3 linked regions of the Schizosaccharomyces pombe genome follow. The gene in region 1 interacts genetically with each later gene. Each region holds a gene or a part of one and is shown on either strand. Other genes may lie near its edges.

Region 1 (5,160 bases):
GGAAATCGAAGAACAGCGTCAAAAGCAAATGGAATCCGTTAGGTCACAATATGTATTGACACCCTTAGATCCAATTGCTGCGTCCGAGCCTTGTCCAATATGTCAAGAAAAATTCCAAAGTGTTTGGCATGAGGAAGCTGAAGTTTGGGTCTTTATGAATGCAGTCGAAGAGGAAGGCCGTATATTTCATGCGACTTGTTTGCAAGAAGTACGCCCGTCAGAAAACAAACATTCAAACACAAATACTAGTACACAAAATTTAGCGGAAGCAGCTGTTTCGTCTAATATTAAAAATGCTACGGGTGACGCTTCGAAGGACTCTCAACCTGATGTTCAAAATTTGTTACAAGGCATTGATATTCAAAGTATCCTTCAAGCACTTGGTAAACGCAAAGAGAGAGACGATTCAATGGATTCAATGTCTTCTAAAGTTATTAAACAAGAAAGCAAGTGAGTTTTGTTTTAACCTCATTTTTCTCGAGCTTTCGGATTTTAGCAATAAATTTGAATCATGTACATACAAAAAATATTTCTATATAATCAGCTAAAATATGAGTTTTACATACTGCTTATAGTAGTATAGCAAACTAAACAGTTTACCGAAAACTTTTGGGTTCAGAATATTCTATATTTATATCCTACGAACACTAGGCAAAAATATCTAAGTAATTGAAAAAGAAAGGGGCCCTTCAGCTCTAACCTAAAAAAAATACTTACTCAGCCTTCTCAAGAATAGCAACGATCTGCTCCCAAACTTGCTCAGGTTTTTGAGCAGCATCAACAGCAGCCCATTTACCCTTCTTTTTGTAAAACTCAACGACAGGAGTAGTTTGTTCGTGATAAGTGACCAAACGCTTGCGCAAAGCATCGGCGTTATCATCGGAACGTTGGATAAGAGGCTCGCCAGTAACATCGTCTTTCATAGGAACTTTAGGAGGATTAAATTCCAAGTGGTAGCTACGGCCAGATCCGGGATGGACGAGACGACCAGTGATACGTCTGACCAAAAGTTCATCATCAACTTGTAACTCAAGGACAGTATTCAAGTCAAGTTTGAGTTCATCAAGAAGAGCGGTAAGCTTTTCAGCTTGGACGACAGTACGGGGGAAACCGTCCAGGATGAAGCCGTTCTTGCACTCAGGATTGTTGAGGATCTCATCCTTGATCATACCAGTGACAATGTCATCGCTGACAAGACCACCCTGATCCATGATCTTCTTAGCTTCTTTACCGAGCTCAGTTTGACGAGCTACTTGAGAGCGCAACATGTCACCAGTAGCAAGATGGGCGATGCCATATTTCTTCTGAATGTTGGGGGCCTGAGTGCCTTTTCCAGCACCTGGAGGTCCAACTAAAATAAGTCTCATGCCAGCCATATTTGATCAAATTGGGTATCTATGCAAAAAAAAAACGAGATTCCACAACAAAGCGGTATTTGGTAGTAGTCTAAAATCGGACTGAGAAGTAAAAGAAGACCACCTAATTTTTATAATAGCGAACTTTAACAAGTCGTTATATTATTGTTGGTGCTAAACCAAACTCAATAAACAGAGCAGAAGCCTGGGGTAAATAGAACAATAAATTTATATTATTTTTATCTATAACCAAATGCTAATAAAGGTTTTCTACGTAGCTCCAAAAGCACGAAGCAATGCAATTAATGATTTTAAGCATAAATGTAAATTCGTATCACTCTCACAATTAGTCTTAGGCAAAAGTAGTGACAGAGTATAGTAACTAAACTAAAAATAAAACTCTGATCCAAACCACGAACGAGAAGCCGGATTCGGTTTCTTTTTCTGTGTAAAGTTCAAAGTAGGAGTATCGTCATCTTCGTGCCAATCTATTTCAATCGAAGACTGTGATTTGGAAGGTAATTCTAGTAAATCCTTAGCGGTTTTCCATGAATATCTAACTATGTCTCCCTTCCATCCGAAAATTTTATCGACATTTACTTTTAACCACTCGGTAGTTCGAGCGTCAGAAGAATATCCAGAACCCCAGTTCTCAGTTCGAATACTTTCACGAGCGCATTCCAGTTGAATATCTCTAGTAACTTTAGCACAGATAGAAGCTAAACTCACGATGGGAAAAAGGGAATCTGCTTTTTTAGTGACAGTGACTTTCGCTTGAGGAAAATGAGCTTGTAATTTTTCCTGGTATGATATTGGAGGTCCTACTGTATCCACGTAAATCTCTGTAACATTTATTCCTGATTCATAAACTTTTTTTATTAAGTCAATTGTCGTATCATGTGCTTGAAGATTTAAATTATACTTGTTCCGGTACCTCAGCATTCCTGCAGCTAATTCTCTTGCGGAAATAGACATAGTAGACCATCCAACGTTTTTTCCTAGCTCGTTAGATTTGTTGCAAATTAATTTCAGAAGTTCCTCTCGCTTTAAGGAGGCCAAAGTTTTACTGTCAGCAAACCCATAGTTGGTCAAATCGAAATCGACTGGACAGTAAGCGACAGCATATACCATAGGTCCTAAGACAGGGCCTCTACCAGCTTCATCTACTCCTAATCGATATGGCTGACTCTTGGAAATATCATCAGTGACTGTTGAATGATAGTAATTCGATTTTGCGGGATTCGATTTATTAACTGAAGGTGGTAAAAAAGTTATTGAAGAATTTTGGTCTTCTTGTAGCTCATTTTCTGAAGAGTTATTGTCACTGACTAGTTCTTCTGGTTCCCATGCATCGTGATCATCTTTCATGTTGAGATTGCTGCTTTGTATCTTTTAAAGAATTATCAGAGTACTTCTAATATTTGGCTCAAAAACTGAATAAAAAAATAAATAAAGGGGTTGAAGGAATGCGCAAATAGGCCTAACACAGTTTTCTTTCGTTCGTGGTTTTAATTAGCGGTACTACGGTAAAACGATGTAAATAAAAAAAAAAGAAAAGCCAGACAAACAATTCATTACAGTTATAATGCTTTCTTTGATTGAGTAAAAATATTTTAATTGAGAAATGACTAAACTAAATGATTTACTTTTTAGACTTTCATTTTTTTAGAAAATTGTTCATTATCTTAAGCGAGTCATCTCCTAGCAATCGAAGCCTGCATACAAGATTTAACAAAAAAAAAGGAAATCATTAACATGGAACCTTGTAAAACGAATAACAACATCAAAGACCTTCTAAAATATCTTCTGGAGGGAAGTCTCCTACTTCAACTTCAGAAGATCGAAGAAAGGATCCATGTTTATTTTTCGCATTAAAGTATCTCTTTCCGCTGACTGTCCCATCATTTTTCCCAACTGGTTCATCAAATTCGACGCCAACCCACAGATTGTCATTATTAATTTCAGGCACTAGTCCAATATAGCGAATAGTTCCATATCTCTCTCCTGCTGCACAGCACCTAGAATTTAAATTTTTTTGTAAGTCGACTAATTCACGTTTTAAAGATTCTTGTCGAGAAGCTTTACTTGCTTCAAAGTCTGGATTGAATCGTCCAAGCTGATTTCTTTTTTTCCAGGCATAGACAGAATCTGTCCTGTTCTCATACTGTTCACGAGGCATTACATATTTATCAACCTGTGAAAGATCGTCAAAGTCTAGACGCAAATGAGGAGGGCGTGTATCCTCAACGACTATAGTCCCCAGAGGCTGAAGCTTGAATTCCCCTAGGTCTAAATTCTCTTCTTCGCTAGTGAAAACGTGTCCAGGGACTGTACTGGAAGCAGGTTCATACGTAAGTTTTTGGTATTGTTCTGGTGTCCCTACGATAGGAACTAATTTGGTCTTAAGCTGACTAACAGTCCATTGTGGGTTAATCCTTCGTTCAGCATTTGCAGAGGAAGATTTAATAAAGAGAGTTATCTCATTCATGTAGCAAATAATTTTAACTTAAGATATATGATTAATGAAAACGGAAAACACAAGAATATATAAAGTGGTGGAAGACGTAGTAGTTAAATGCTGACGCCGCCTTGGTCAGTCGTTCACAAATCACATCGAACTTGAACAATTACATAGAACCCTCGTTAACCAACTACATTTCGCATATGATCAATTAAATTTTAAGTCGATAATACTGTTGAACATAAGTGCAATCTTTGCTCAGTATAACCTTTTAATCGGTTGTTAATTGTTCTTCATTTATTAAAATGGCTTCTCAAGATCAAAATACAGGGACAACACATGTCGAATTGCAAGGTGGTGAAAATTCTAAAAAGCTTTTCTCCAAGTATGACCTTTGGTCAAAGGCAATGGATGAGAAGAAGCTGTCTTCCTCACTTTTCACAGTAAATGATACCCAAGAATTTCTTGAGCTTTGTGAAGCTTGTCGGCGTGGAGATTTGGAAGTTGTCAAGAGGTATGTGCAATTTAAAAATATTGAATCGATAAACAATTTTAACTGCAATTGCTAAATTCAAAATCCAGTTTGGTCGAAAACTATAACACACCTATTAATCAAGTAGACCAATTTGACTACTCGCCTTTAGTCCTTGCGAGTCTTTGCGGGCATGAACCAGGTATGCTATGAATGTTTTGCTCTCAATTATTATATTTTCTCACGCTTAAGTTGTAAAATTTCTTCTTGAAAATGGTGCTTTATGCGAACGAGATACTTTTCAAGGAGAAAGATGTTTGTATGGTGCCCTTAATGATAATATTCGCCGTATGCTTCTTTCTTATGATATTACTAAAGCCATTGATGAGTCCCAACCTTATGCTAGTCACATAACTTCCTTGTTGTCGAACTCGGCTTTACATTTTACTACTGACATAGTCTTTGCCGGTCAATATGGTAGGGTTTTTGCTCATAAATTCTATTTAGCTGCCAGAAGTTCATATTTTAAATCAAAATTTTCGAAATTGGGACCCAGTGAACATGAAATTGAAGTCAAACATTTTGCTAAAGAGTTTGAATCAATTTTGCGATATCTCTACTTAGACACAAATGCTGTTTTCACCAAACAGTATAACAATGCTCTTCTGAGTATTGGAAAAAAATTCCAGTTAAACGATTTTATCGCATTGTATGAAAAAGATCGCGAGCAGTTACACTCTAGAGATTGGAAGAAAATCCAGTTGGCAAAAACTCAAAATGATCTAGGAGAATTTTTGGATTATATAATCTCTAACTACAAAGTACCCATTGAATCTCTTAACCAACCTTCCGATCAGTATTCGTTTCACGAT
Region 2 (4,775 bases), on another chromosome or scaffold:
TTAAGGAGATTCTCGGTACTGCCTTCTCTGTTGGTTGCACCGTTGACGGCAAGAACCCTCACGACGTTCAAAAGGAGATCGACAATGGCGAAATTGAGATCCCCCAAGAATAATCGCATACATAAGTTAATGTAAACGGATTATGTGCTTGCTTGGTAGTATACGGGTTTTGTATAAAACAGCAATGTTTAGATCTTGATGTTTTTGCTATCTTTTTATAGGGTTCAAAAAATACAGTGTTTAATATAGGTTTCTCTTGCATATCTGACATCCGGGAAAACATCCAAAATTTTGCACTGGATACTTTTAATTTAAAAGTTGTAAACGTTAAGGCGCTTGTAGTTTAATTGTGCTTTAATGATATTATTTGTTGTTGATGTCGGGTTTTTATAAATTGTATTCATGAAAATATTTCCTGGAATGGTAGAAAGAAATGTTCATACTTGATGAATGGTCCGTTTTAACACATTAAACTATGACTGTAATTACATGTGATTTTGTTTTTATTTTTGAATACTATCAACTGCTCTTGAGCTAAGATACTAAACTAATAATTGCCTGTTAAGTTCATAATCGTTGTAAGCATATAGTAAGGTAAAGCAAACGTAGCAGCAAATACCCAGTTCAATAAATGGAGTTTTTTCACTATCTACAAGTAAACTATAATAATAACTTTGTAAGGAACGAATGAATGATTTGCTCTTTCTTCAAGCTCTTTTAGTATTCTAGAAATCGGTTTAAAATGCCAATTCAAAATTACGATTAATTAAAGTAAAAAATAAATATTAAATAATCTAACTGATTACTGATTTTGATTCGTACATTTCATATAAAAGGGAGAAAGTATATCCCAACATCGTTTATAGACATTTTCTTTGAACCATCTCCTCACCATAGCACAGTAAACATTACATAGCGATACGCAAAATAGCACCACTATGTTTGACACAATCATCACTCCAATTCACTACGCTTCATTTGCGCATCCAACATGTCTCACTAAAGTTGGCTGGTTCGTACATATTCACCCTTGTCAACTGCGTATATCCCGAATTCAATAAACGTGTTATTTTGACGCGCATATACGTCTATATTCATAATGTCAGATTACAAGAGTCTTAAAGTTGCAGAACTGCGTGAAAAACTTGCGGAGAAAGGCCTCTCCACTGCTGGAAACAAAGCTGAATTGGTAAGCCGATTGACAGCAGCGACCGAGAGTAACGATGAAAATACTTCGAATAACAACGCTACAGATCTAGGAGATCTTGCTCCTCCCGAGGATGATATTGATTGGGGAGACATGGAGAATGATACTATTTCAACTGACGTTAACAAGCCAGCAGAACCCGAAAGTAAAGAGACCAGTGCTCCTGCCGCTGCTGTAGAGATTGAAAAGGAAAATGAAAGCATTATTTCGAAAGAGACTTCACAAGCTCCTGAAACTTCCACTGGTGCTGAAGAGCATCAAGAAACCACAGAGGAATCCAAACAAAGTGTATCTAATGAAGTCTCTAGCCCAGATGTAGCTAAAGAGCAAGAAAAACTCATCCAAAGGGCTAAACGATTTGGCATTCCTGTGGACGATGAACAAATTAAGAAAGCTGCTCGTGCTGCACGTTTTGGCATTCAACAACCTTTAGCGTCAAGTAATAACAAAAACCATAATCAATCTAAGAACCCTCAAAATCGTTCCAACTCACGTTCTAAACAAAGAAATAAGAATGCGCCTCCTAAAAGTGCTCCATCCAAGCGGAAGAGTAATATTTTGGACGACCCTATAGAGGCAGAAAAAGCTAGGAAGCGTGCTGAGCGCTTTGGTGTTGCTGCCAAGAATTAAAGTAACCATTTAACATATTTTAACTTCTTATTTTACAATATGACTCATGTTTCTTGAAGTTTTCTCCTCATGCCATGCTTTATTTGTATGCTTAATGCTTTTTTGATGAATTAGAACTTTTGAATTCCTATTTGTGTATATAAATTATACCCAGACTTTTGCTTCACTTTAAACAACTTATCCGAGTACAAGCATCCGATATTGGAGCCCTAAACGCTTCTAATTTCAATCCTACCTTTTAGGTGTGTTTTAAAACATCTGTGAAAACTCGGTTTTATTTTTTTAATAGCTTTTTGGGGCGTGATGTAAGTATTTCCTAGGCGAATTCTTTAATAGTTACCTATACTCATATGTTTTCCATTTTTAAAAAACTCTTCGTTCTAATCGTTTTGACATACACATTCGTTACAAAGATTTTCCACTCTGCTATCCATATGTATATATTTTGATGAGCTTATTTGTATTTAAGAAAAAGAGAAGGATTGTAATGTTTATATGATGTATCCACCTTTACTTCCAACAATGTCGAAATTCTTAATTTTTGTACATAAACTATTTTCTACAGGTTGGAATTTTATTTTTTTATTATACCTTTTTGTTTCTCAACTTCGGACTTCTTCTGTAACGTGCGACTTTACCTGTTTTGCTGTCATCGGTAAGTAAGAAAAAGTGAAAAATTTGACATTGCTGGCTGTAATGTTCTTTTGCGTTTTCTCAATTAGAGTCAATTAAAATGCCTTTTAATGGGAAAGAGTAACATCATTGTTTGTTTACATGTTGAAGTTTGTTTGTTTACAAACATGGCTTTTTAATCGACTTTTCTCAGAGCCACCTTCACCGTGTCTCAGCTACCCATTATTACAAAGTTTTGACTTTTCAACTCAACTAGTATCGCTACCTTTAAGAATATAAGAGTTGTTTCTATATCTTTTAATCCAGCCTCTATCCTGTTTACGCATCATGAATGCGAAATTATCTTCCTCCGGAATGGTACTGAAAGAGCTTCCGGAAGTCGCTTTGCAAAAGATAAGCTCAAACTACTATTGGGCTGTTTTTGCAGTGTTCCTGCTGTGCGCAATTGTCTTTCCTTTAGTATCGATATTCAGTTTGCCTCAAAAGCAGACTTACCACCGTTTCTTTTCCATCCTCAGTTTGGTTTCTTGCTTGGCCTACTTTACCATGGCCTGCAATTATGGATTGAAAAATGTGTTTTCTTCTGCTTCTTTTTTTCGAGAAGTTAGTGTACGAATGGTTTACTATGTTCGCTATATTCAATGGTTAATCAATTTCCCATTAATCATCGTAATGCTACATTGGACGGTAGGCGTATCTATACTAGAAATTGCATATGTCGTTTGCTATGTGCTTTTTGCGATTGTTTGCTTACTGGCGGCAGCATTAACTTCATCTCCCTATAAATGGGCCTATTACGGATTTTCGTTTGTAGGCTATTTTATTGCATTGGCACACTCAGTCGTTTTGCATAAAAAGTATGCTAGCCGTTTAGAGACGTCTGCGCGCCTAGGGTTTTTATGGTCAATTGTTTACTTACATGTCATTTGGTTCCTCTATTATGCATGTTGGATTTTATCTGAGGGCCTCAATGTTATCTCGCCAATTGGAGAAGCCATATTTTACAGTATATTAGATCTTTTCGAATTCGGCTTTTTTGGCGCTGCTTTTTCTTGGATGCTAGACTTGGTTGGTATTGAAAACTTTAAATCGCCTCAATCGATACCCTTAGGGGCATGCAGTCCTGCTGATGACAAGTTTTCAATGTGTCCGGACATGGAGGCACAAAACCAAGCTGATGATTTGGCCGTTGAAACTCGCATTCAAATTTCCAATTTACCTTCTTCACCTACGAAAAATAATTGCTAATAACAGTACGCATCGTTGCAGTTATCTTTGCTTAGTTATAGAAATTTACCTTCCGTTTTTTTTTTTTTTGTTTTTTAATCATTATTTGTTTCCTGAATGTTTAAAACAAACTCGAAGTTTCGCTACGAGAATTTCGTTGGCATTCTAAAACACAAACACTTTTTCGTGAAAAATTACGATTATGAAAACGAAATAATTATTATAAAAACGAAACCTTTGAACAATTATTAACGTTCATTCGCACTTGAAACGTCTAAATTTACGACGGTGAGTCATTGTTTACGTGAAAAAAGCATTATACTAGTTTTAGTTTAAGATTATTCGTAAATCATTTGCATAACTTTTACGAAACTTTACAAGGCATAGCTAATATTAATACAAAAATTTGCTGTTGAGATACAATATACGTTTAAACATTTCATAGAATAATAAATAAAAACTAAAAAAAAGAAACAAATAGTGCCCAAAATGGTAAATAGCCACTTTCAACGAATGAAGTAAGTAAAACTAGCATGAGCGATGCAAGTTTGCAAAGTGTTATGGGTATTTAAAGTCGAGCAGACTTAGAAGTATTATTTTCGTTTGGCTCACGTAAGTCTTGAATTGATATATGCTGCAACGGAGGAACTGTACGAGCACTGGGTCTAGCCGACAAACGACTAGCTTTAGAGGAAAAGCTAAAACGAGCACCTGACGTACGCGATGCATTTTCGTTTTCTTCATTCGAACTAGATTCTTGTTGAGAACGTTCGTACTCTTCCTCTTCGGCTCGGCGACGTTCCTCAGCTTCGCGTCGCATGGCCTCTGTGCCAGCGTTTTCAATGACAGCATCGGGAAGACTATCACGACCAAGCCTTTTACTTCCAATATCAGCAACATCATCAAAAGCAGGCATCAGATGCCGTGTTCCAAGGGAAAAGTCAACACGCTTTTTAGAAACACTAGCGGTATCGGAATCTGAACTACCAGGAGGAGTAGGTTCGCGGTAAGGATATGCTTTTGGGTTCTTCAGAATTCCTCCGCCAACAGTGCTGTCGCGATGATTTTCAGTACCACC
Region 3 (5,280 bases), 2.7 Mb from region 1:
TTCCAAAGTAAATGTCTCCAAAATCGCCAAGACCTGGAACAATGTATCTAAATCATATGTGTTAAAGATTATTCATGAATGAAATAGCGATCAACTTTGTATTGACCTCATGAACACTTGTAGTGTATCGTGCACATACCCATTGTTGTCGAGTCCCTCATCAATTACGGCGGTAACTATACGTATATTGGGGAAACGATCGTGAACATTTTTCAACCCTTCAGGCGAGGCAATTACATTGAGGAAAATGATTTGTTCTTGTTTGCAACCCATGTTGATAAGAATTTCCATAGCACAAATAGCAGAGCCACCAGTGGCTAGCATGGGGTCCAAAAGTAAGACATAGCGTTTAGAAATATCTTCGGGAAGCTTGATGTAGTGTAACACAGGTTTATGAGTTTCCTCATCACGCTGTATCAAAATTTTTCCAATACGAACAGAACGACAGCATTCACGCAATCCTTGTTCCATACTTTCGCCAGCTCTCATAATGCTAACGCCGCAAATACGACCATCAAACATTACACCCTCGTATTCAGCATTTTGAGCAGTCGTTACCTTAGCTGAAGACACTGGCAAGTGGTTGAGGCCCTCTTCAACAATTAAACGAATGATTCTATTGGCATAAAAAATAAATTCAGACTAAATATCATGTTAGCAGGGATAACAGATTCAACAAAGAATACACGAGAAGTTGTCGAATGTACTAACTGATAATGAATGCTTCCTATCATCCACTGATAAACATTTATCTCCCCATTAATAGAGGAAAAAGCTAAAATTTCTTGGACATATTAACACATTCATTTCAATTAGTTCTTAGACCTTGACTCAGTAATCTGTTGTAAACTGAACGCGCATACACGAGGTTTCGTTTTATCACGAATGATGGTAAACAACCCTTTTAATTGATTTGTCTGATTTAGTACGTACACATTTCCATGCTCAGGTACCAGCGACATCTTTTTGACGATGTATGCTTAAATATCTACCTATCAAGTTGTTTACCAAGTAAATGGTAAAAAGTAAAAGCACAATAACACATTTGCTTTTAAGCTATCAATAGCAAAATGAGTTTTATCAACCTTAGTATATTTCGTTAAACATAAATAAAGATTTACAACATCATTTCATAATAACATAATTATGATTAATGCGTTACTTAGCGCAGTAAAAGATTTCTACTCTAGCAGGCTTGGCAAAATTAAATAAGAATATCAATTAACTATTGAACATATTTTAGGGCAAGTTGATGTTTTTAAATGAATTACTGCTTATATTTAAGAATGAGAAAGACAGTACAAATTTTTGAAGCACACATTCATACAATTGGACTCCATGCAGCTTACAATCTTAATTGGATTTCAATGTTTTTTACTTGTAATTCTCAATTCATCCAACTGTATTCACAAGAAACCAAGAAATGAGTTGTATTGTAAGGATTTTTAAATCAAATGCAGTAAGAACACATGAACATATTTTCATATCTCTTTCATTCTAGACATTTTTTGTACATGGAGAATACAATAAGTACAAGGTCGAAGTCAACCACACTCTAGGCACTCGTAATTCTTAGCCTGTCATAGTGAACAGCGATTCTACCAAACCAAAAACAAAGCAATGAAATGGCTATCTTGCCAATGAGCAAGATATCACACCCATATTGATGGTACATCCGAATACCAACAAATAAGCTTAACACTATCGTCCAATTGTCGGTTCATCAGATGGAATCTCGAAATTCGTATGTTCGACGTCTTTAAAAAGGACAAATATATACAAGAGCATGCCTAGATTTGTATACACTAAGCTCGTCCGGTTTTGCCAAATACAGCGTCTTGTTCATTGCAATGTAGTTAATACCTTCTTATCGCTTCAGAGAAATCTCTTAATTGAAACGACTGAGCATCAACGAAAATAAGATCACCATAAATGAACGGAAACTTTCAACATTTAAGCTCTGAAAAGAATCTTCCTTTTGCAAGTTAGGCCAATAGCAAAAAATCATTCCTTTTCTTCCTCATAAGCTGCTTCAGGGGAATAGGCTTCTTGATCATTTATATTATCAACCTCTTTAGCTTGATTTGCAACAGCATCACAAGCATCAATCCAGTCGCTGTATACGTCGATGGGTGCCGAAAGAGCTTGATAATGTTAGTAAATAAGTGTACAAGAAAATTTCATAAAAGAACAAGAAATAAGAAGATAAAGAGACGATATAAAAGAAATTAACCGCAATATTAATCGTAATAATTTACGTGCCGCTATTGAAATAAAACACCTCTTTCATACCTGTAATTAGACATTGATGACTCTGACCACAAATTTTGCAGTGTAGATTTCCAACTCCTGATTGTTTATCACTATCAAAGTGTTAAAAAAAATGAAAGTAGTTAATAAGCATACAGACTACAGCTCACACTTTTTTCGTGGTTGCAAAATAGGCACGTAAACTAGTAAAGTTAGTAAATTTCGTAATTAAACTATAACTCACAGTCGTATCTAATGGGGGTGCCCTTCTTTTGGGTTTCACTTTTGCTTTTGCTTTTCTTTTACCCATTTGCAGAATCTGTTTACGTTTTGCAAACTGCAGATTCGTATTAGCGGGTTCACATTAGCACTCTCATCCTTAGGAAGGGTAATGCGGAAACTCATGTAATTTCGACACTTGGTAAGAGACGGTCTTATTTAATTTTAATGAATTAAATGTTTAAATATGATATTCTTATTGAGTTTACTGATGCACATTTGTTTCTAGAGTTCTTTCTATTCATGATGATACTTTGCTGTATGAAACGCAAACGTAGGCATACCAGTCTTACAAACGAAGCCAGATCCTCCATAAGTAAATCTTGCACTCTTTCTCGCAACGTAGTTGACCTTCTATGGTTATTTTGTAAATGCGATAAAACTCTCATTGACTAACTAGAAATTAACGTAAAACATAATTGACTTCTCAGCATTCACGTGACGCCGATTAATTTGGAATTACTGAAACATCTTAGCATAGGCCTTTTGTTGGCGCTTCTTATAATCTTTTTTCTTTTGACGAATTTCTGCAAGCTTCTTTGAAATTGCAGGATCGTTACCAGCCTTAGCAAGTGCTTTCTCTGATTCTTCAAAATTCTTCAAGAGACCTTGAGCACAACCCAAACGATAGTATGCTTTCTGTTTCTCTAACTCAGTAGAGTTACTGGCCTCAATTACAATGTTGGCGTTTCGAATAGCTTCCTGAGGTTTGTTCTGCTTCAAAGCTACAAGGGCAAGGTTTGCGTATATGCTGTATCGTAAAGCATTATACTCTTTCCAGAAATCAGGGGATTCCTTAGAGTCATCGTTGGGAACAGGGTATTCCATTAGGTAGCGCAAAGCTTTTTGCCATTTGGCAACGGCTGTATCCAAATTTTGCTGAGCAAATTGCTTGTTAGCAATTCCCTTTAAGTCGCTAGCAATTTTGAAAATGGCAGTCTCGGACTTATCACCCTCGTAATCATCAGGAAATTCTTCCAGAGAATCACCAGTAACGTCTGGCTTTGGTGCCTCAATCTGATCCTTTGTGCAAGTTCCACATTCTTCAATAACAACAGGTACAACCGGATCGTCATTTTTGGTCTCCAAATTTTCAATGGTACGAACAGTAGATTTTCCTTGAATTACCTTGCCAAAAACAACATGCTTTCCATCCAAATGAGGGGTGGGAACAGTAGTAATGAAGAACTGAGATCCATTGGTATTAGGGCCGGCATTGGCCATGGAAAGCAAGAAAGGCTTATCATGCTTGAGCTCAAAGTTCTCGTCCTCAAACTTCTCGCCGTAGATGCTTTCTCCACCCGTTCCATTACCACGAGTAAAGTCACCACCTTGAAGCATAAAGTTCTTAATTACTCGATGGAACCTTGAACCTTTGTAGGTTAAACAACGGCCATCCTTCTCAAACCCATTACACAACGAAGCAAAGTTTTTGACAGTTTTGGGAACTACGTTGTCGAAAAGTTCAAAGTAGATTGTTGGTTGAATTTTACCATCAATGCTAATTTTAAAATAGGCGTAAGTACTCATTTCGTGCAAAAAAAAACAATGATCGTTTTTAAGTAATGATATTTCACTGCCAGTCTCCTCAGTGTATTCACACCACAAAGTTGCTTTAAGAAGAAGAATGAATAGCGATTTTACGCAGACGAAATATACAGATCTGTGCAAACTATTTAGTTTTAGTTATTAAAAAGGTGGTGATTTATATTTGCAACCTACTGCGAAGAGATTTTCTACGAAACTTCTAGAAACATACTGTATTAAAAAAATGCTAGCAGAAGAAAATTTGACTTTTTATTAGACCAAAAAATATTTATACTTTTTTCAATTAGATTGCTTCTTCGTTAAAAATTCATAAAATACCTGATTTAAGTTAGCACACACGGACTATAAAGAAATATAAGTGCTGTTGAGTGAAGTCAACAATGTATTTAAATTTTAAAACACAAAATTGTGTTTCCTAATAGTTTTAAAACATATTTCGATGAAGTCTTCAGGCAATGTAATTACTTACCGATTTGTCAATTGAAACATTTCCAACTGACTTCAATCTCTTTTTCCCTTCCTTTTGCTTATTAAGTAGCTTTTGCTTCCTTGTTACATCTCCCCCGTAGCATTTTGCTGTGACATTTTTTCGAAGAGCCGAGATAGACTCCCTGGCGACTACTCGGTTGTCGATGACAGCTTGAAGTATTACTTCATATAGTTGTTTAGGAACTAACGGCTTCAACCGTTGAATCCATTCACGGCCTCGCTGAAGTGCAAGCGAGCGATGCACTATAGAACAAAGAGCATCTACAGATTTTCCACTCATAAAAATTGATAGTCGCACCAAATCAGCAGGAACGTAATCCGATTCTTCATAATCTAAGGTAGCGAAACCACTTGTTGTCCCTTTTAATCGACCAAAGAAATCTTCAACCAGGTGAGCAAGAGGTAATTGATATTTTATCATGCATCGCGATTCGGACATATAAGTGCAGTCCTTTTGGAGTCCTCGACAAGATTCACACAACTTGATAACATCTCCTAGGTACTCGCTCGGTGTTATAATTGTTGCATCGACGGTGGGCTCTAAAAGCTCAGATATACCTTGATGATTTGTTGGAAATAGATTAGGATTCGATATTACTTCTTCCCTTCCATTTTTATATTTTATGCGATACGGTACTGTGGGAGAAGTGATTAATAATTCCTTTCCATATTCATCCTTTAATCTGTCAATAAAGACAGAAAGATGCAACGTTC

Evidence for each region.
Region 2: mutations in rnh201 (region 1) and mug73 together harm fitness less than expected from each alone (positive genetic interaction), as found in Schizosaccharomyces pombe (one large-scale study listed by BioGRID).
Region 3: mutations in rnh201 (region 1) and SPOM_SPAC1B3.02C together harm fitness less than expected from each alone (positive genetic interaction), as found in Schizosaccharomyces pombe (one large-scale study listed by BioGRID).

What each region holds. Positions count from the first base shown.
Region 1 is NC_003424.3:2,252,151-2,257,310, reverse strand, and holds rnh201 (ribonuclease H2 complex subunit Rnh201), read right to left. Parts: upstream 2,816-5,160; 5' UTR 2,724-2,815; coding exon 1,743-2,723; 3' UTR 1,455-1,742; downstream 1-1,454. Other genes in the region: pcf11 (cleavage and polyadenylation specificity factor), read left to right, coding at 1-454; adenylate kinase Adk1, read right to left, coding at 714-1,376; alp11 (tubulin-specific chaperone cofactor B), read right to left, coding at 3,139-3,843; ubiquitin ligase Btb3, read left to right, coding at 4,122-4,330, 4,399-4,490, 4,541-5,160. UniProt on the Schizosaccharomyces pombe protein: Endonuclease that specifically degrades the RNA of RNA-DNA hybrids. Participates in DNA replication.
Region 2 is NC_003421.2:622,550-627,324, reverse strand, and holds mug73 (transporter mug73), read left to right. Parts: upstream 1-2,797; coding exon 2,798-3,718; 3' UTR 3,719-3,809; downstream 3,810-4,775. Other genes in the region: rpl1202 (60S ribosomal protein uL11), read left to right, coding at 1-113; RNA-binding protein mlo1, read left to right, coding at 1,100-1,837; msy1 (MS ion channel protein 1), read right to left, coding at 4,266-4,775. UniProt on the Schizosaccharomyces pombe protein: Has a role in meiosis.
Region 3 is NC_003424.3:4,926,957-4,932,236, forward strand, and holds SPOM_SPAC1B3.02C (Elf1 family transcription elongation factor), read right to left. Parts: upstream 2,590-5,280; 5' UTR 2,561-2,589; coding exon 2,495-2,560; intron 2,454-2,494; coding exon 2,407-2,453; intron 2,364-2,406; coding exon 2,293-2,363; intron 2,145-2,292; coding exon 2,005-2,144; 3' UTR 1,216-2,004; downstream 1-1,215. Other genes in the region: SPOM_SPAC1B3.01C (uracil phosphoribosyltransferase), read right to left, coding at 1-47, 140-642, 864-962; cyclophilin family peptidyl-prolyl cis-trans isomerase Wis2, read right to left, coding at 2,989-4,059; GTPase GUF1, read right to left, coding at 4,357-4,395, 4,547-5,280.